Mus musculus: one gene and its partners. The protein of the gene in region 1 purifies or fractionates together with the protein of each later gene. This does not show direct contact. Links are inferred from orthologs where the notes say so. Each region holds a gene or a part of one and is shown on either strand. Other genes may lie near its edges. The genes, in order: Cttnbp2nl, Stk24 and Strn3.

What was found.
Region 2: the proteins of Cttnbp2nl (region 1) and Stk24 purify together in Homo sapiens (affinity purification with mass spectrometry; 3 studies listed by BioGRID and IntAct, with this or other methods). This does not show direct contact. The link is inferred for Mus musculus from reciprocal best matches to the Homo sapiens genes CTTNBP2NL and STK24.
Region 3: the proteins of Cttnbp2nl (region 1) and Strn3 purify together in Homo sapiens (affinity purification with mass spectrometry; 4 studies listed by BioGRID and IntAct, with this or other methods). This does not show direct contact. The link is inferred for Mus musculus from reciprocal best matches to the Homo sapiens genes CTTNBP2NL and STRN3.

The regions. Positions count from the first base shown.
Region 1 is NC_000069.6:105,002,830-105,008,777, reverse strand, and holds part of Cttnbp2nl (CTTNBP2 N-terminal-like protein), read left to right. Parts: intron 1-574; exon of another isoform or gene 575-722; coding exon 723-830; intron 831-2,649; coding exon 2,650-4,128; 3' UTR 4,129-5,948. UniProt on the Homo sapiens protein: Regulates lamellipodial actin dynamics in a CTTN-dependent manner. Associates with core striatin-interacting phosphatase and kinase (STRIPAK) complex to form CTTNBP2NL-STRIPAK complexes.
Region 2 is NC_000080.6:121,294,555-121,300,733, forward strand, and holds part of Stk24 (serine/threonine-protein kinase 24), read right to left. Parts: intron 2,767-6,179; coding exon 2,581-2,766; intron 247-2,580; coding exon 101-246; intron 1-100. UniProt on the Homo sapiens protein: Serine/threonine-protein kinase that acts on both serine and threonine residues and promotes apoptosis in response to stress stimuli and caspase activation.
Region 3 is NC_000078.6:51,687,951-51,694,871, forward strand, and holds the start of Strn3 (striatin-3), read right to left. Parts: upstream 3,965-6,921; 5' UTR 3,754-3,964; coding exon 3,472-3,753; intron 3,365-3,471; exon of another isoform or gene 1-3,364. UniProt on the Homo sapiens protein: Calmodulin-binding scaffolding protein which is the center of the striatin-interacting phosphatase and kinase (STRIPAK) complexes.

The DNA of each region.
Region 1 (5,948 bases):
AGAGGTCTAGGCTGAGCCACTCTGAAACAGAAGCTACTGAACGATACATTCACATGTCAAATGCTGTGTGGTTTGGGCAGAATGCATGAGAAATGTCCATTTCTGCTTTTGTTTTCCTGGAAACTGATTTAGAGCATTCAGCACCAGGATAAGTGGACTAGGATAAATGGGCAAGTTGTTAAATTCTTGTGGAAAATCACAGGTCAGATCCCAGTAACCGAGCCTTCTGCACATAGGATGGAGTAGGAGTCTTTCCCAGATGATCTGGGTGTTAGTTAAGCAAGGCACTGGATGTTCTGTTTGATTTGATCTTTAGTTTCAAGCTGGAGCTTTGGTGCCTCCTGTGATAGCATTGAGAGGAACACCTCAGCCTTGTGTGGTGCCGCCCACCACAACAGGGCTCGCCCCAGCAGGTCCCTAGTCAGAACAAACCGCCTGTGATTTCCCAGAATTCTGCTGGTTCTCAAACCTTCCCAACCCCCACAGCTAATTCGTTTCTCTCTTGTCTCTGTTTGCATTCTTCTGCACATACTTCAACAAAAGTAAACATCTTGTTTTCTAGCACATAGCTCACATGTCTTTCATCCTGCTGCGACAGCGTGCGCCTCGACAGCCCTGGCTGGATTTCATGTGTTTGCTCATTTAATCTGGAACCCTCAAGTCTTGAGTAGTGTAAGTGTTGAGTCGATGTTTGGAAGTTAATGCTTTAAAATCCTTTACAGGTGATCCTCGACCTTGAAGAAGAAAGACAGAGGCATGCACAGGACACTGCTGAAGGAGATGATGTCACCTACATGCTGGAGAAGGAGAGGGAGAGACTGACGCAGCAGGTAACTCGGGAAGGAGGAGCAGGATGACCTTGTCTAGAGAGTTGCTGCTTAGGCTTACGGCAGTGTGCAGAATTACGTTAGAAGTCCTTATTGAGAAGATAGAATGGCCATGTTTATCACGGCTATTCCCAAAATGTCTGTTTTTTCAAACAAACAAACAAACAAACAAACAAAAAACATAGGTAACTTGGGATTGGGGAGATAGTCCAGGGGGCAAGCACTGCTCTTGCAGAGGGCCCACGTTTGGTTCCTCACATCCACATCAGGTGTCTCACACCTTCCTGGAACTCCAGCTCAGAGGATCTGACACCCTCCTCCTGTCTACAGTAAGACCTGTACTCATGCACAGAGTCCTCACCCACACACAAGTATACATAACTTTAAAAATAAAACAAACAAAGATCACTCAGTGGAACTGTCATTCATAGCACATCCTTTAGAGATCTCTGAGTTTCAGGCTTTTTTGTTGTCCCACGACCTACAGTAACAGCATGGCCTATCCCAAGCCAGTACGCCTGAAGTAGAGTGTTGAGGTGTGGTCTTGCTTGTCCTTTAATGCTAATATTGGGCCCCCAAGATCTGGTTGTCCCAGAGATGACACAGTCTACATGTAGACCCAAGTGACACTGTGTGATCTTGCCCCGAGTTATTTTTGATTGGTGAATAAAAATGCCAATAGCCAATAGCTAGGCAGGATTTGGGGTGAGAGGAGAAACACAAGAAAGAGAAGGTGAAAAGTATGGAGGAGGAGCCACCATGGGTTAGGTGAGCCGTGAAAATATGGCCCTGAGGGCTGGCCAATTAGAGTTTAAGAGCAGCCCAGATGAAACATGGTAAGTAATAAGTTGGAGTTATCAATAGGAAAGTAGATTCTAATAGCATAGAAAGTAGATATCTGCCTAGGTTTTGTCCTGGTTAAGCCTTATTGTAAATATAAAGGCTGTGTGTGTCTTTTATCCGGAAACTAAATGATAAAGGCAAGGTAGAAACCTCAGTTTGGGATTAAATAATTTCCACATCACAGAGATCACAGGACATAAACCATCTGTTTATTCTTGTACTATACAGTGGTGGTGTGCTCACATTGTAGATCAGGGCAGCCTTGACTCACACTCATGAATTCTTTTTGTTTTTAAGTATGATCATGGTTTACTGAACTGGCTTCCCCATCTATCAATGTATCTCGAATTGGAAATTCCTGATTAGAAGGTTCATCCACCCGTTCCCTCTCAGAGTCTGTATAATAATGTTAGACAATAAAACAGACTACATTTGTGTAGATCCAAGGATGGTGGTTCATGCCTCTCGTCCTACCAGTTGGAAGGAGGATTTCAAATTCAAAGCGAGTCTCAGAGTAAGACTTTGTCTAATGAAAACAACAAAAGCAGGGTCTCAGTGCAGCTATTTATGTTCGTTACTCTTTGTAAAGATCAGACAGAATGATTGCTGCATCTTCAAGTTTGATTTTCAACAGCATCCATGCCCAGATGCATCTTACATTGTATTCTGTTATTTGTTTTGGCTGATTCTATGGCCTCTCCGCATACCTAAAACACAACGGTGCATCATATCCCTGCTGTTCACCCTGAGGCAGTTAGGAACTCAAATGCCTCCCAAGTCATCAAGAAAGATTAAATCATAGTGTGTGGGGTGTTCTCATACTTCAAAAATACTAATTAACCTAAGCACCGTGCTGTACAAACTAATACCGCGCACCAGAGAGCAGCCAGTGAGGACACCCTGAGTGATCGTAATTGTTAGTACATCCTTCTGTTTTCCTTCTCTAATCAAGAGGTGTGGTGGCATTTTTCTTTTCTAGTTGGAATTTGAAAAGTCCCAAGTGAAAAAGTTTGAAAAAGAACAAAAGAAGCTGTCCAGTCAGTTGGAGGAGGAGCGCACCCGCCACAAGCAGCTCTCTTCCATGCTGGTGCTCGAGTGCAGGAAGGCCACTAGCAAGGCAGCCGAGGAAGGGCAGAAGGCCGGAGAGCTGAGCCTGAAACTGGACAAGGAGAAGAGCCGGGCGAGCAAGCTAGAGGAAGAGTTGGCAGCCGAGAGGAAGCGGGGCCTGCAGACGGAGGCCCAGGTGGAGAAGCAGCTGTCTGAGTTCGATATCGAAAGGGAGCAGCTGAGAGCCAAACTGAACCGAGAGGAGAACCGGACCCGTGCCCTGAAGGAGGAGGTGGAGAGCCTGAAGAAGCTTGTGAAAGACCTAGAGGCTGCCCAGCAGCACCGCAGCACCAGTGAGCAGGGCAGGGAGCCAGTGACCATGTCCAGAGGCACAGCCACGGAGCCTCCCATGCGAGTGTCTGCGTTTTGTCAAACAGAGAGTGTTCAGACAGAAAGAAGCCACGGGAGTGTCATAACCAAGCTGACAGACACTGGTCTTCCAGGTCCCACCACGGCTGCTTACTCATATGCTAAAGCTAATGGCCACTGTGACCCAGAGATACAGACTACCAGGGAGTTGACCTCAGACAGCAGCACAGAAAACCAAGGGCCTCCACGGGAGAAATCTGCAGTAGCGGCTCAGGAGAAACCAGTGGAGAATGGTGGGTGTCCTGTAGGAACTGAGACTCCAGTCACGATGCCTAGTCACCTCCCTTCCAGTGGCAGCTCCCTGTCTCCCAGCAGCACAGCCTCTTCCTCTCTGACATCATCTCCTTGCTCCTCCCCAGTTCTAACCAAGCGTCTCTTGGGGTCAGCAGCCAGCAGCCCGGGCTACCAGTCTTCCTACCAAGTCGGGATCAACCAGCGCTTCCATGCCGCTCGGCACAAATTTCAGTCCCAGGCGGATCAGGATCAGCAAGCCAGCGGTCTCCAGAGCCCTCCATCCAGGGACCTGTCCCCTACCCTGTTAGACAACTCTGCTGCCAAGCAGCTGGCCCGAAACACAGTCACTCAGGTGCTCTCCAGATTCACTAACCAAGGGCCAATTAAGCCCGTCTCTCCCAACAGTTCTCCCTTTGGGACAGACTACCGAAATCTGGCCAGCACTGCCAGCCCAAGAGGTGACACCAGCCATTCACCCACTCCAGGGAAAGTGTCCAGCCCTCTGAGCCCCCTCTCTCCAGGAATCAAGTCCCCAACCATCCCCAGAGCTGAGAGAGGAAACCCTCCACCAATCCCGCCCAAAAAGCCTGGCCTCACCCCTTCGCAGTCTGCCACCACTCCAGTAACCAAGACTCATTCCCAGGCATCCTCCCTGGCCGCCACAGAAGACCTCGCCAGCAGCTGCTCCCCCAGTGCCGTGGTGGCCAATGGCAAAGATGTTGAGATACTTTTGCCTACCAGCAGCTAGTCCCTAGGGCTGAGTCTCCACATTTGACATTCCATCAGACTCGGGCCAAGAGCTCAGCGTTAAACCCTGGAGTCAAATCATGTTATTTATTTGATAGTAGCTACAGCCATCTGTATAATACATTCAGTGTATTTACCTTTTTGTATTTTTTTAAGTAGAAATTGAATACTTTGGATTTTTATGACTCACCTCTTTGTACTAAGCTAGAAGGGGACCTCATAGACATAGCGCATCTCAAGCTCTGCACTTGCCAGCGTGCTGCGACGAGGCGGCTGACTGGGGACCAGGCGGTGCTGCTGCCAGTCGGGGAGCTAGAATTCATTACTCAGCACTCATTTCAAATTATGCAGAAGCGGTTCGTGCAGATTTTTATTCCAGATGAACATGTTTTAAAAGTGCCTGAAATCGCCTGCCACGGGAATGTGATTCTGCGGCAGAAACAAAAGACAGAGCATTTCTTGCAGCAAATGAGATCCTCTGTGAATCTGAATGTCAAAAAACCAACACTGCTTTTAATCCTCTCTGACTGTTTAATGCCAGCTTTGTGTTCTGAACCGAGGTTTGCATAAGTAGAGTGGAAATCCTTCTGAAGGGCGGGAACTCTGTCAGGCTGAGCTCTGTAAAGCCCTCAAGAAACCCTCCAGAACACTTAGCAGTTGGGGTGCTGATTTTCTTGTGCTTTTGAAAACTTAAGTCATTCTCCGTTTCCTGCATCACTTCTTGAGTAGTGAAGTCACGTCTCCATTCAAATCCACCCTCAAGCATCGGCCATGGGAACTTCTGATTCTGGTTGCTTTTACTTGAATAGGAAATGACATAATGAACTCTTTATTCTGTGATCAAAAAGCAATAACTTAAAAGTCAGTCTTTGTAATACTGTAAGTCAGAATTATACAGATTTTACCAAATTGTTACATTCACTCTCCATGCTGCCAGCACTTCTATCTATGGAACCAAATGGGCGTATATCTGTATCTGTATAGTACACACCCCTTTTACATGTTCAGCATTCTCACACTCAAGCACATAAGTATTAGTGCAATTGTATCTCTGGAGCTTGCAGTGTAGCATAAAGGACAAAGTAGAATCAATCGCATGTTAAGATTACCTACCAAAGCAATTAGATGTGACTTGGAGCCAGTCAGTCAACAAAGAAATCCATTTGACAAGGAAGTGGACAATCCCAAACTAAGCTCACATCATCAGCATCATAGGAAAGCCCATTAAATCGTCCTAGTGCCACAGAACTCAGCTAGCCATGTGAGTGAGTGAGACAGCACAGCCCCTCAAGTGCTATCCACTCAGCCATAGCATCCTAGCCCCGTGTAATGGGGCCACCCCTTTGAGCCCCAGCTCCTGTCATGCAAAAATTGCAGATGGAGGTTACCAATTCTCTAAACGTTCATGGAATTGAGATTCCCACAAGAAGATTCTCATTCTGATTTTAAATGTTTTTTAAATGCTGCTGATTAGACAAACATGGCTGCAAATGACTTTAGCTTGCAGGCTACCAAGCTGCAGCCTCTCCCTCCCTAGAACCTGTGCTGTTTCCCTTGTAGTGAGTTTGTACAGACAGAAACCCCCAGGCTTCTCCACTGTGTCAGCTACATCTGACCAAGTCCACAGAGCAGGACAGCCTTGCTCTTGGCAAGCAGAACCCCCGACACACCAGCTCAGGACACTGGTTACACAGTTTTTTATCCAGAGTAAGAGAGAGGAAGGCCTTGGTGTCTTTACATAAATTGTTCTGGCCAGCATCTACCCAGAAGCCCCTGGCCTACTGTAACCGTTTATTGGGAAGGAGAATGGGTGATCATTGG
Region 2 (6,179 bases), on another chromosome or scaffold:
CAGCTACACACACAAAAAAAGCTCACCCCCACCCCCACCCCCACGAAGCAGGGCCCAACTCTCTGCTACAGGCATGGAGAGCCTGGACAGGGCAACTTACACGTCAGAGTCCTCCGAGCTGGAGTCCTCGTGGCTCTGCTCCGCCTTCCACCTCTTGTACCTGTCGATAAGCTCGGTCAAGTAGGACGTTTTCTTTGCATTGCGGATTATGAATTTGTGCTTCAATAATTCCTTAGCAGTGGGCCTCTGGAAAGCACACATGTCGAAGTCATCACCACGAGAGGACATTTCCTCTTCACCCCACTCTATCCCACACAAACAGACAAGACTGCTGGGTTAAAAAGCCAGACCATCGCACCACGGGGCAGCCCTGGATTCTGCTTCAGAGCCTGCTCCTAACTCAGGCTTTCTGGAGAAGTCATTTCATACCCATGCCCAAGCATATATGGGCACAGGGAAAATGGGAGAGAGTTTCCAACAAAGACTGAAGCATCCTGCCAGAGTAGCTCACCAAAGAAAAAGAACTCCTGCAAAGAACTCCACAAAGAACTTGGTGAGTACTGTCTGAGAGAGCTCATCTTGTTTTTCTTTGGTTTCTCAGCATGAGTGCTGGCTAAGGGAAATACACATTCTTTATGATCTCCTATAGTGTTAGGCGAATACCCTAAACTGAGTTCACAGATTCGACTCATCTCAGAAGAGGTTGGGACAGGAGTTAGGAGAGACCTGACTGGCTCCTGGCTCCTGCCTCGGTTCCCTCACTCACCAGCACTCCCCACTTAGAAAAGTAGGTCCGTGAAGCCATCACCACGATGGTGACAGGGACCAACAGCTTAATCCCCACCCAGCACGGCACAGCTCCAACCAAATGGCATTAAAGAGTGTAAGCGGCTTCCCCATCTACTGGCAAAAAGTTCCCCAAGAAACAGAGTGGCCCAACTAGGGACAGATAGCAAAATCACAGAGATGCCAGGCAGGCACACCCACAGTGATGTTTGCTCCAAAGAATCAAGAATAGCATTTTCTTCTAATGGAAATCTCTGAGAGTCCTCCCGCCCCCATCTTTTGGCTGTGACGCTCCAAACATCCCAAGTGTTCTCAGCTTTGCAGCTTTCACATGTGAAGGTCCAGGGGTAAGCCAAGGTAGAGGGGTGCATGGTGGGAATAAACGGTACTGCACATGCTTTAAAAAAAGATGTGAAGCCGGGCGTGGTGGCGCACGCCTTTAATCCCAGCACTTGGGAGGCAGAGGCAGGCGGATTTCTGAGTTCGAGGCCAGCCTGGTCTACAAAGTGAGTTCCAGGACAGCCAGGGCTATACAGAGAAACCCTGTCTCGAAAAACCAAAAAAAATAAAATAAAATAAAAAAATAAAAATAAAAAAAATAAAAAAAGATGTGCACATATTTGGGTCTCTCTTCCACCACATTGTGTGGCACCATGGTGTAACAATCAAACATTGACTTAGCATGCAAGACCACACCCACCACCTGACCCAATAACCAAATGCAACCTGCTAACCTCAACCTGCAGCCCCTGGTGGAGCCAAGACAGTGTTTTCTGCCCCTTTTAATCCCTTTGCCAGAACGGGCTCCTGTTGATAACCATATGATGCTCCTGTGTCATTCATCTTTTCTCACCATTTTCAGACAAGAGCTAACGGGGACCCTCTCCATGAGTATTCTTCAGGCTCAATGAAGCTAAATCTGCTCAAAGAAACCCAAATCAAAGCTACGGCATGGAGTGCTACATGTGACAACACACAGGCTACCTTTCTATTCCAAGAAAAGCCCCGATTCTCAGAGAACAAAGAGGAAAGCTCAGAGTAGCTAAGGGCATGCATGGGCTTTGCCACCTCTAAGTAAACACAGAGAGAAAAGGCGGGGCAGTGGAGGTGGGCGACTCACGTGTACCCCGTGTGTCTGTTCCCTAGCACACAACAACTAACTGGAAGCTGACCATTTGCTTCCTTTATTTTGAGTCTACCCGCTGCTACTACTGAAGTAGCTTCCTAGTTGTACAGCCTGACTTTTCTCTATAAATATTAAAAATTGACCATCCTACCTATTATACTAAGTAGAATATTCTTCAGGCTCAATGAAGTAAGGAGATGCTAGAAAATCTAAGATAAAATAATTACATCTGAAATCCCTAAAAGACAAGAGGATGACAAAAGGCAACAAAGAGCGAGCGTCCGTAAAGAAACGGGGCAGTGGTGGTGCCCAGAACTCAGGAAGCAGAGGCAGGCAGATCTCTGTGAGTTCAAGGCCAGCCTGGTCTACAGAGAGAGTTCTAGGAAAGGCAGAGCTTCAGAGAGAAACCCTGTCTCAAAACAAATAAGAGGAAGGAAGGGAGGGAGGGAGGGAGGGAAGGAGGGAGGGAGGGAGGGAGGGAGGGAAGATAGATAGATAGATAGATAGATAGATAGATAGATAGATAGATAGATAGATAGATAGATATTGAATTCATTTGCCAAGACTAGAGAGAGAGAGATCAGGGAGACAGCTGGAAACAGTGTCTGGCCCAACCCTAACAGAAGAAATGCAGACCAAGATGAGACTCCAGAAAGGTGCACACTCACAAAGCTGGGCTCCTTGTTCAGGCAGGCCTCCACGAACTCCTTGAGGGGTTTGCTGTAGTTCCCTTCCAGTGTGGGAGGGTTGTTCTTTGGGATGAGGAATAACACCTTCATGGGGTGCAGCTCAGAATGTGGTGGCTCTCCTTTGGCCAGTTCTATTGCGGTGATGCCAAGGGACCAGATGTCTGCCTGCAAGGACAAAAGCATGTTAAAGACGTGAGACACATTCAGACAGGCACAAGGGAGGGGAAAACACGCGCGCTTCAATCTCAGGTTCTGAAAAAGACCACTATTCTGAACTAAGAAACACAAGCCAGTGGCATAATTTTAACACAGGAAACAAGTGGACAGATTTTATGTAGCAAACACTACATACAAATACAAAATTGCTACAGTAGCGATCCAGACTGGCCACCTCTGTGGCAGGCAGCAGGCCTGTGTCAGGTTTCCAGCAGCAGTAACAGGAGTACATGAGCAGGAGGAACTTCACCCCTGGGCAGCACCTGGTACTACACACTGCTGCTCAGACCTAGTGGTCTCAAACAGCAGCACTATAATCAGGGTCTTAGGACACTAGACAGGCAGCTTTCCCTTAGCCCTGCCCCCTTGATTTTCACGAGGGAGGTAGTTTCAAGGGTGTATAAAGGGACTGCATTACCACTGTGCCCACAACTCAAAGCATTATTGCTTTGTTTGATGGCATTTGCAGTGCTGGGAACTGAACCTAGGGGCTCACCCTAGGCAAATGCTCTTATCAGTGGTAGAGAATGTTTATTATAAAAATGGTCAAACACACAGACATGGACATTAATATAACCATACATATGGCACACAAAGGTAATCACTGTGATCACTTTCATATAGACTTTGTTAAGTATAGTGACTTGTAATCACAGCACCCAAGAGACAGAGGCAGGAGGACTGCCACAAGTTTGAGGCTAGCTCAAGCCATATACACAGCAAAATACTAGAACTATATACAGCAGGATCTTATCTCAAAGAAAGAATAAACAGACAGACAGACAGACAGACAGACAGAAGCTATCTTGACACCTGCCACCCCTCACCCCCGAGTACTTCAATATGCCAGCCAAACAGGGCTTGTCTGCACCCTGACACTGAAATTAGCAATACTAGCAGTAGAAATGGAGCTACTGAACTTGGAGCTTTCCCAGGCCATGAGCACAGCAGCTCTCGTGTGTGGTGCTAGGCAGCAACCGATGGCCCATTTTCCAGACAGCACTGCTACCAGAATGAGCAAGGGGGAAAAAAAAGTACGTCCAAGTTCCAGTGAGTTTTTCAAGGAGTATCTACAATTCTTTAATATCAAGTAATACCTGAGCCTTTCCAACTGCTTAAAAACCATAAAAGTTTCCAGAGCTGCTTTATCTGAATTAGGATCCAAAGTCCACTTGCCCCATATGATGGCTACGCTGCCCAGGTCCTTTAATCAATAGCGGTCTCTATTGCCAATTTCCCCAGAGCCTTTAAGAATGAGGTCTCAAGTCCTTACTCTGCGTGTCATTTCCCTTTGTCCTGGTTGGACTTGATAAGCTGGAAGAACCTCACTCAATGGAGAGCACGCCCCGTCACACTGACCTACAGGCAAGCCTTTTTGAAGCATTTTTTCTCCTGATTAATGATTGATGTGGAAAGGCCCAGACCACTGTGGGAGGGGCCATCACCCCTGGACAGGTGGCCCTGGTATGTGAGAAAGCAAACTAAGCCAGCCAGGAAGAACCAGCCAGCAAGTGGAATCCCCTATGGTCTCTGCTACAGCTCCCATCTCCAGGTTCCTGGCCTGACTTCATGAGGGACTGTACATTTTAAGGTGAATTAGCCCTGTGCTCCCCAAGCTGCCTGTGGTCACTGCAGTTACCACAATACTAAAGCCTTCACTAAGCACCCCTGACATCTGATGTGTTTCTCTCTCAGTGTGTTCCCAGCTAAGGCCCTGCAGGTTCTGACTTGAGACTCAGACAGACTAGGCACTGGGACAGCCCTGCTCTCCAACTGCCCAAACCCCTGTGTCGGACTGTCACCTCTGTGCACGGTACGTTCCTTAAATGCTCACTGTATGAAAGGAACACAAGTCTCAGGCCAACTTTACAACAAGCAGGGCTGTCAGGAGCTCAACACGTGTGAAACACGACAAAACGGGTTGGCAAAGAAGGCATGGGGATGGGGTGGAGAACGGCACCTGCTCTTGTCATTGCACCATGAACTTGTCACAAGTCCAACACTTACGGCACAGGTGGCAGGAGAGGCCGATGAAGGGGACCAGGGGACCAGAACAATCTCCAGCCTTTACCTGGAGTACCCTTGCTTGCTATTCTCCTGAAACCTTGTGAGCACCAGAAATCCCTGCCACATCACCTCAGTCATCACCATGAAGGTGGCTAGAAAAAGGGAGAAAGCCACACAGCAGGAAGAGGAGGACTGAGGCAGGCCTGACTCACGTGCTCCCACTGTAGTCCTCGTAACTACGGCACCTACTCCCATGCTCTGAGGCACAGCCATGTCCCACCATGCATCAATGGGGCCCCTGGCAATGGCTCTCCATCCAGATCTCCAGACTTCACACACCCTGCTCAGCCTTACAGGTTACAAGGCCGGACAGTCATGGTCTCTGCCTGAGGTTAGCTGCGCTCTGACTGCACAGCAATCCTGCAAGGAACTGTCTCTGCTTACTCTGTCCCCGGTACACTGAGTGACAGCCCTGGGCTGCAAAGCAACCTGAGATTCCTCTTTGGAACATCCTGAATACAACCAGGAATAGTGGCAGGCCACTGTAACCCCAGCTCTGAAGGTTGGTTGGCAAGAGGAACTGAAAGTTCAAGACCAGACTGGGCTCTCTAGTGGAGTCCATCTAAACCAAACCATGAAGTATTTGAACCCACACAGGTGAGAAGTGTGTGGCAGTGAACTCTTAGGTGCCTAGCGTTCCCACACCCCTCTAGTTCTATCTTGGCTGAGCTGCCATTCCCCAGGACTTGTGCAGGGACCTGGGCAGTCTTCTGTCTGCCTCTGATGCCCACCTTCAAGCCTGGACACAGAGCTGGCACATCCAGGACACCAAGCCATTTGGCATGTGATCAGAAGCCATGGAAACACCCAATCGTGTTTAAACACCACGTACCCCAACAAATGGAGACTAGGAAGACAGGATGCCTCTCCAAACAGCACAGATACCAAGCCCCAGTACACATACCTGCTTGTTAGGAAATGTGGCACCTGAGGGTTCAGACGAGTCAGGTAAGGGGGGTACAGTCCCTGTCCAAAACAACGAAAGCTGAACTACACCAAGGACCCACTTCAGAGAGGTATCTGGTATGGCAGGGAGATCAGGAAAGCTCTCTGGGAAACAAGAAAGTGAGTGGCCCAGGGTACAACAGAATTGGGTGGCCTGAGCCCCAAGCCGTAAGGGCCATGGCTGACAAGCTAATTTACTACCTGGATCCTGGTCTCTCTCCTACCAAAATCCAGACACGAATACAAACAGCAAATGGTAGACAATACACCCACCTTCCTACCTGACAGAACTCAGGAAAAAGGCCAAGAGAAGACCGGGCTTTAGACAAGAAGTAGCCATGGAGGTGATC
Region 3 (6,921 bases), on another chromosome or scaffold:
GGTACAGTGTATTTACATATAATAATAAATAAATCTTTTTTTAAAAAGTGTTGATAAACGTAGAACATTCAGAACTACATATAAAAACAGAAGTAGTTGTGGGCTGGAGAGATGGCTAAGAGCACTGACTGCTCTTCCAAAGGTCCTGAGTTTAACTCCCAGCAAACACATGGTGGCTCACAACCATCTGTAATGGGATCTGACACCCTCTTCTGGTGTGTCTGAAGACAGCTATAATTGTACTCATACATAAAGTAAATAAATCTTTTTTTTTTAAAGTAGTAGTAGTCTTGTTTTTAGGAAAGTAACAGAAATAATTTTAAACTTACAGCTTAAATACAACACATGAATTTTTTACACATACATTCAACACAAAACTTTGAAGTATGTACTCACAAGCAGTTTTATTTAGACTAATAGCATTCAAGGCCACTGTGAGCCACCTACCAAGGTTCAGGCAGCTTTTCTAAACAGTCCTGGCCCCCACCCACACACAATGAGTGACAGCACTTAAAGCACACTCAATATCCTAGAAACAAATCTGAAACACTATCAATTAATCCAATAAGGCAATTTTTAAAATATACAGCACATACAAGAACATATAAACAATCCAGTCGTGAACATTTTATTCCAAAAGTATCAGTATAAAATAATGCGAATGTCTCTGGATAAAATAGAACCAGAGAACATCATATAACATTCTTTAAACAGAGTAAACAAGCTGGAGAAATGGCACATCTTCCAGGGTACCTTAGTCCCAGTCCCAGCCCCCACAGCAGGGAGGCTCACAACACCTGCAACTCCAGCTCCAGAGGAACCCACCATCTGGCCTTTGAGGACCTGACCTCATGTGCACATGCACATATACACACATAATGAAACATAATAAAAAGGTTTAAAAGGAGGGGAAAAGCAAGTAAATAAAGACTATCAATCTGAAAGAAACCAAGCTACAGAATCCTTAAAAATCCTTTTCTGTTGCTGTTAAGTAAGATCAGGAACAATGAAAAAGAAAACCATGTATTTCAGTAATGTAAAACTTGTTGCCAGGCGTGGTGGCGCATGTCTTTAATCCCAGCACTTGGGAGGCAGAGGCAGGTGGATTTCTGAGTTCAAGGCCAGCCTGGTCTACAAAGTGAGTTCCAGGACAGCCAGGGCTACACAGAGAAACCCTGTCTCAAAAAAACAAAAAAAAAACAAAACAAAAACAAAAAAAAAGACGTAACAACAACAACAACAAAAAACTTAATTTGGATACAAGATGCTTTCTTAGCTAGTTACATTAATCATGCCTGAGTGACAAATTCAAGTGCTAATTTGAAAATCAAAACAACAGTACAAGGATCAAATACTATATATGGACCTGGTGGTTTATCAATTCAGCAAAAGCCTCAATGTAATTTTTAACAGATTACCTTCTCTCTATCCACATGGAAAAGTCGGCATCAACATACTAGAAAGATGTATGCCCACAAAACTCTAAATCCAACAATAGTAGACTCTAGAAATTTAAAAGAAACCACAGCAATTTTGACATAAGTTTTTTTGAAAGTAGTAATCTCTAAAACACAAATGTATTTTTTAAGCACAATTTTAAGATTACGGAATGAACTAAAGGTGTCATATAAAATAAGTAGGATTTTGTTGTTGTAAAATTTAACTTCACCCACTTTGTGGAGTTAAATAAAAGTTTACTGGCTTGCCAGGTGAGGTGGTACAAGACTTTATAATTCCAGCACTTCAAGAGGTAGCATGTGGACCTCTAAGAGGTCTAAACCAACCTGTTCTACATAGTGAGTTTTCAGATCACCCAAGACAACAGAGACCGTCTCAAAAGCAACCACAATACTAGATGGTGAGGGCACACACCTTTGATCCCAGCAGAGGCAGATGGATCTCTGAGTTGCAGGCCAGCCCGATCTACAGAATTACTTCCAGGACAGCCAGAGGTACACAGAGAAAAAAGCCAGTTTCAAAAACACAAAACAATAACAAAAGCCCATAACCAAAAAAGTTTACTGGTCCAATCAATTGCTTTGCAATGCTTTTGACAATGAAACAACCTTATTTCTAATTTTCTTTTACTTTTTTGTTTGTTTAAGATAGACTCTTATGTAACTGCAATTGTCCTGGAACTCTATATAAATCAGCCTGGCCTGAACTCATGGATATTAAACATCTCCCTCCTGAGCACTGAGATTAAAGACTTATGCCTCTACACCTGGGTATTTTTAATTTTTGAATAAAATTGTTTATAGTTTGTAAATAATCAGGTCAGAAATAAATTAATCAATGTAATTAAAAAGTTTACTATTCGACACCAAACTGAAGACTCATATTTATTTGAGGATACCTTTTCTACATTCATTAATCACGCTGTTGTTTCAACATTATTTCTCACCAAAGTTATTGTGTGTGTGTGTGTATAATAACGAACAATATTGCTTATGTCGAAATTTATAAGTCTGAAAAACAGGTGCAACGCTTAATTAGATACACGCTTTTTTTCTTCTAAGCTTAAATTAAACCCTGGAAAGGAACTTAAAACTAAACGCAGTCATCCTCCAGCTTGAATAATCCTTTCAAACAGATGCAGCAATTTTAAAAATTCAAGGCATGAACCCGCAACTGTCACCTTCCAAAAGTTAGGATAACCCAAGTCTGTCAGAGGATCACATTAAGTGGACATTTAACTCCGTTTTAGCTTGTACTAAGCGATAAGTACGGTCTACTTCAAATTAAGACCAATTCTTTCCGCAGACATTTCCTAAATACTGTACTGACAGCCCAGCTTTGCTTTGCATCAGTAAAAACATGAATATAGTAGGGAACTCTAGAGAAGCCGACTCAAGAGAGAAATATTCAGTTAAAGTGTTGATGAATCAGTAAGCGCTAAAGGAAATCCAAGTGAGTAGAGCGGCATCGCAGGTACTTAAAGGAGTTGAGGATGGGAAGGCAAACTTGTCCGGCCGGCCGCGAGCCATTGTGCGCGGCGGTAGCCCGAAGCGGCGTGGCTGTCAAGGGGCAAGTGCGTACCGAGGCGCGGGGGAGGGGGCAGGACGCCACATCGGAAGGGGGTGCAGGAGCCAGGAGGCAAAGACGCTCATCCCAGGCCCTCTCCGCGTGGCCTCACCCTCAAGGGGACCCACAAGCGCAAACTCAGTGCCTAGCGGGCCCACGCCAGACTCTCGCCCAGAGGCGCTGGGCCCAAACCCCGGAGGCCCAGGAGAGGTGGCTCCGGAGGAGCCCTGCGGACGCCATGCTAAAAGCCAAAATGGCTGCCCCAAGGATGCCCGCAGCGCGCCGCCCGTGAGGAGGGAGCCGGGCGCGCCGTCACCGCTCGCCGGCCGGAGCGGCTCAGGTAGGTCCCCTCCGCCCTTGAGGGCACGGGCCTCAGCCCCGGCCCCACCCCCGCGGCCCGTGGCCCCGGCCCCAGCTCGCAGTCGAGAGGGGTGACGGGTGACGTACCTGCAGCTCGGCCCGCTCCACCTCCCAGTGCGCCCGCTCCATCTCGAAGCGAGCCCACTCGTGCTGGATGTAGTGTAGGATCCCCGGGATCGTGTACTGTTGCGGCCGGGACAGCTCCGGGCCTGCCGGGGGCCCCGCCGCCTCGGCGGCCGGAGGACCCCCGCCGCCCGGCGCTCCGTTCGCTCCCGGCGGCAGGCTCAGGTTCCCCCCGGGTCCCTGCTGCGGCCGGGGAGGGGCTGCCATCCCCTGGCCGCCGCCGCCGCCTCCGGCCAGCTCGTCCATTGTGTGTGGGGCCCCGGCCGGGGCGCAGTGCCAGACGCCGACAGCTGCGGGGAGGGCCGGGACGGTGGCCCCGCGCCGACCGCAGGGCGGGGGGCCGGCCGGGAGACGGCCGGGGAGGGGGTCGTTGCCGTGTGCTTGCCGCGGATCAGAGCAGGGAGCTGCCGGCCGCCGCCATTACGGTACCTCCTCCATCTGCCCGTCTCACTCACTCACTTTGGGGGAGAGGGGGGCCGCGGCGGGAGGAGGAGGAGGGACGGAGGAGGAGGAGGAGGGACGGAGGGCCGCCGCTCGCGCACGGCACGCTGGGTAGAGAACGCCGCTGCAAGCCGCACTCCGGAGAGCCAAAAAGAGTCCGGCCTCACCCCACGCAGGCGCACTGAGGATGGACCGCTCTTCGGGAGGCGGGGAAAGGCCTGGGCCCCGCCCCAACTCGGGCGCCGGGCCCCAGCTTTTCTACGCCTGTGGAATCTGGATGCTGCCTTGACTTTGGGGAAGCGCGTGGGCGTCGGGCTTCCGGGTCGTTTTCCTCACGCACGTATCCTTAGGGGCAGCGTGGGTCTCAGCTGAGGGCCTGGGCTCTGGAGCTGCGTGCAAGGCGTCCTCCGTACTGCCCTGGAATTCCTGACGTTTCTCTAGAATTCCTGGCGTGTTTTGCTCAGTCCCAGAGGGTCGGGCCTCTTTTCTGCCTGTCACTCACTTGACCTCTGGTTTCGTGGCACCAGTCAGTCTGCAGGATTCTGGAGACGTCTACGTTTGGCAAATAGCCCAGATTCTTCCGGACTTTCTCACTGGCTCCTGGGCTTCGTCGCAACCTGCTTCTTTGGTCCCACTTCGGTGCTCCTGGCCGCCCGTTGTAACTTCTTAAGTCTTTATTATTCTGAGATTCTCTGTGTTTGAGCTATTGCTTTTTTTTTTTTTTTTTTTTTTTTTTTTTTTTTTTTCCTGAAGAAGTTGTGATATCTTGAATTCTTGAGAATAGTGGGTTGGATGGCAAACGATAACTTTCAAAGAGACTGATGTTTAGAAGTCAATGAACGCAGATATTGTCATTAGTGGCAGAAATTTTGATCGAAACAAAATGAAAGTATTGTAAATAGAACTTAAGATGAACTAAATCAACACAACGATATCTTTCTTCATCATTAAATGGTTTTAGAATGAAATACTACATACACAAAGGGTCAGTTTTTAGGTGCTATAGTGTGCATTTTTCTGTAAGTTCTTTTTTTGGTTTTTTCGAGACAGGGTTTCTCTGTATAGCCCTGGCTGAACTGGAACTCACTTTGTAGACCAGGCTGGCCTCGAACTCAGAAATCCGCCTGCCTCTGCCACCCGAGTGCTGGGATGAGAGGCGTGCCACCACGCCCGGCTTTCTGTAAGTTGAGGTAACAGCCTGGCTACCGGGCTTGGTGAACCATGTCTTTAATCCCAGCACTCGGGAGGCAGAGGTAGACAACCTGATCTCTGGGTTTCGTTTCAGACCAGCTTGGTCTGCAGAGTTCCCAGACAGCCAGGACAACAGAGAAACCCTGTCTGGAAAAGCCAAAAAAGGAAAGAAGAAGAAGGAAAAAAAAAACAAAAAACCTAATAACCTATGTAACAGCAAATGAAAAGAAAAATACACAGTACTTACAGCTATACAAGAAATAGTATATAAAATTGGTTATGTTTTTAAACTTTTATTTTCACTCTGAAAGCCTATTCAAATTTTCACATTGGAGCATATAAGTGACTTCATATAACTTCAGAGAGAAAAAGAAATACATTTTATTTTGTCATGTCTGCTGTGTTATAAAGAACTAATTCGATCTGTTACACTTATTACCATATTTATGAAATGTAGTCTTTAGTAAATGAAGAAATGAGGCTGGAGAGATGGCTCAGCAGTTAAGAGCACTGACTGCTCTCCTAGGCGTCCTGAGTTCAGTTCCCAGCGACCACAGTGACTCACAGCCATCTGAAATGGGATACAGTGCTCTCTTCTGGTGTGTCTGAGAGAGCAACAGTGTACTCACATAAGTAAATACATCTTTTTTTTTATATGAAGAAATAGTACTGTTATCTAAGAGTTATTGACAATCAGCATACAGCTGGCTCAAGCAGTCCCATTCCTTAAGAAAGAACACATAAAAAGCTCAGAAAAACTTACATCCTGGGTACCTATTTTATGAACACAAGGAAGCTTTTAGGGATCTGAAGCCCACATGGCTGGTGATTATGTCAAAAGAGCAAGTTGCACATTTATATTTCTCATTTCACACTTCAGCTCACAGGAAGGTTGCCCCCCACCTACCCTGCAAAAAGATAACTGTTGTTCTTCTATTGTCTGTCTTAAGTGGAGACAGGCAGATCTTTGAGTTTGAGGCCAGCCTGGTCTACAAAGCCAGTTCCAGAATAGCCAGGACTGTTACACAAGGAAACCCTGTCTCAACAAAGAAACAGAAACAAATAGCAAAGTTTTCTGCTCTGCTGAGATGATGTTTTACACTGTTAACATTGTGCTTCCTGCCCACTGCTCCTGAGAACACTGGAATGAGTCTCTAGAACTTTTAGATAACAAATTCTCCCAGTTACACTCTAACAGTTCAGCTTGCCTAACTGGAATTCTCTCTCTGACCCCTTGCTGAGTCATTTCCTCTCTTCAGTCCCCTTTGAAACTTCCTATTTATCCTGTCCTCTCACCTGTCACTCCTCCCTGCTCCTGCCTAGATTCTCCTTCTTTCAGAATGATTTGGGGTAGGTGGAGGGTAAAATGGTGTGCTGCCCTTGAGTGTGAGATTCTCCTGTTTCTGCCACCCAAGTGCTGGGATTGCAAATGGACTTCAGCTTGCTCAGTTCATGATGATCTTCATGAAAGTCTATGTATGGCTGCTCGGTACTTTCTGCACTGGGGAGGCTGAGCCAGAATTATTGCTGAGAGTCTGAACCCTGAGTCATGTGAAGAATTCTAGGCTAGACTAAAGTACACAGTGAGACCTTGTTTTGTTGTTGTTTGGTTTGATTTGGTTAAAAAAACAATGCCTATATTTTTGATCAGCTTAGTTTTTAGGGCACTACTTTGTTTTCTATCCTTACAAGTAATATTTGAACCAATATGCTTACTCAGCTGGACTTGTCGTATTTAATTTACATGAATTATGAAAGCCAAAGTATACCAAAGAATTCCAG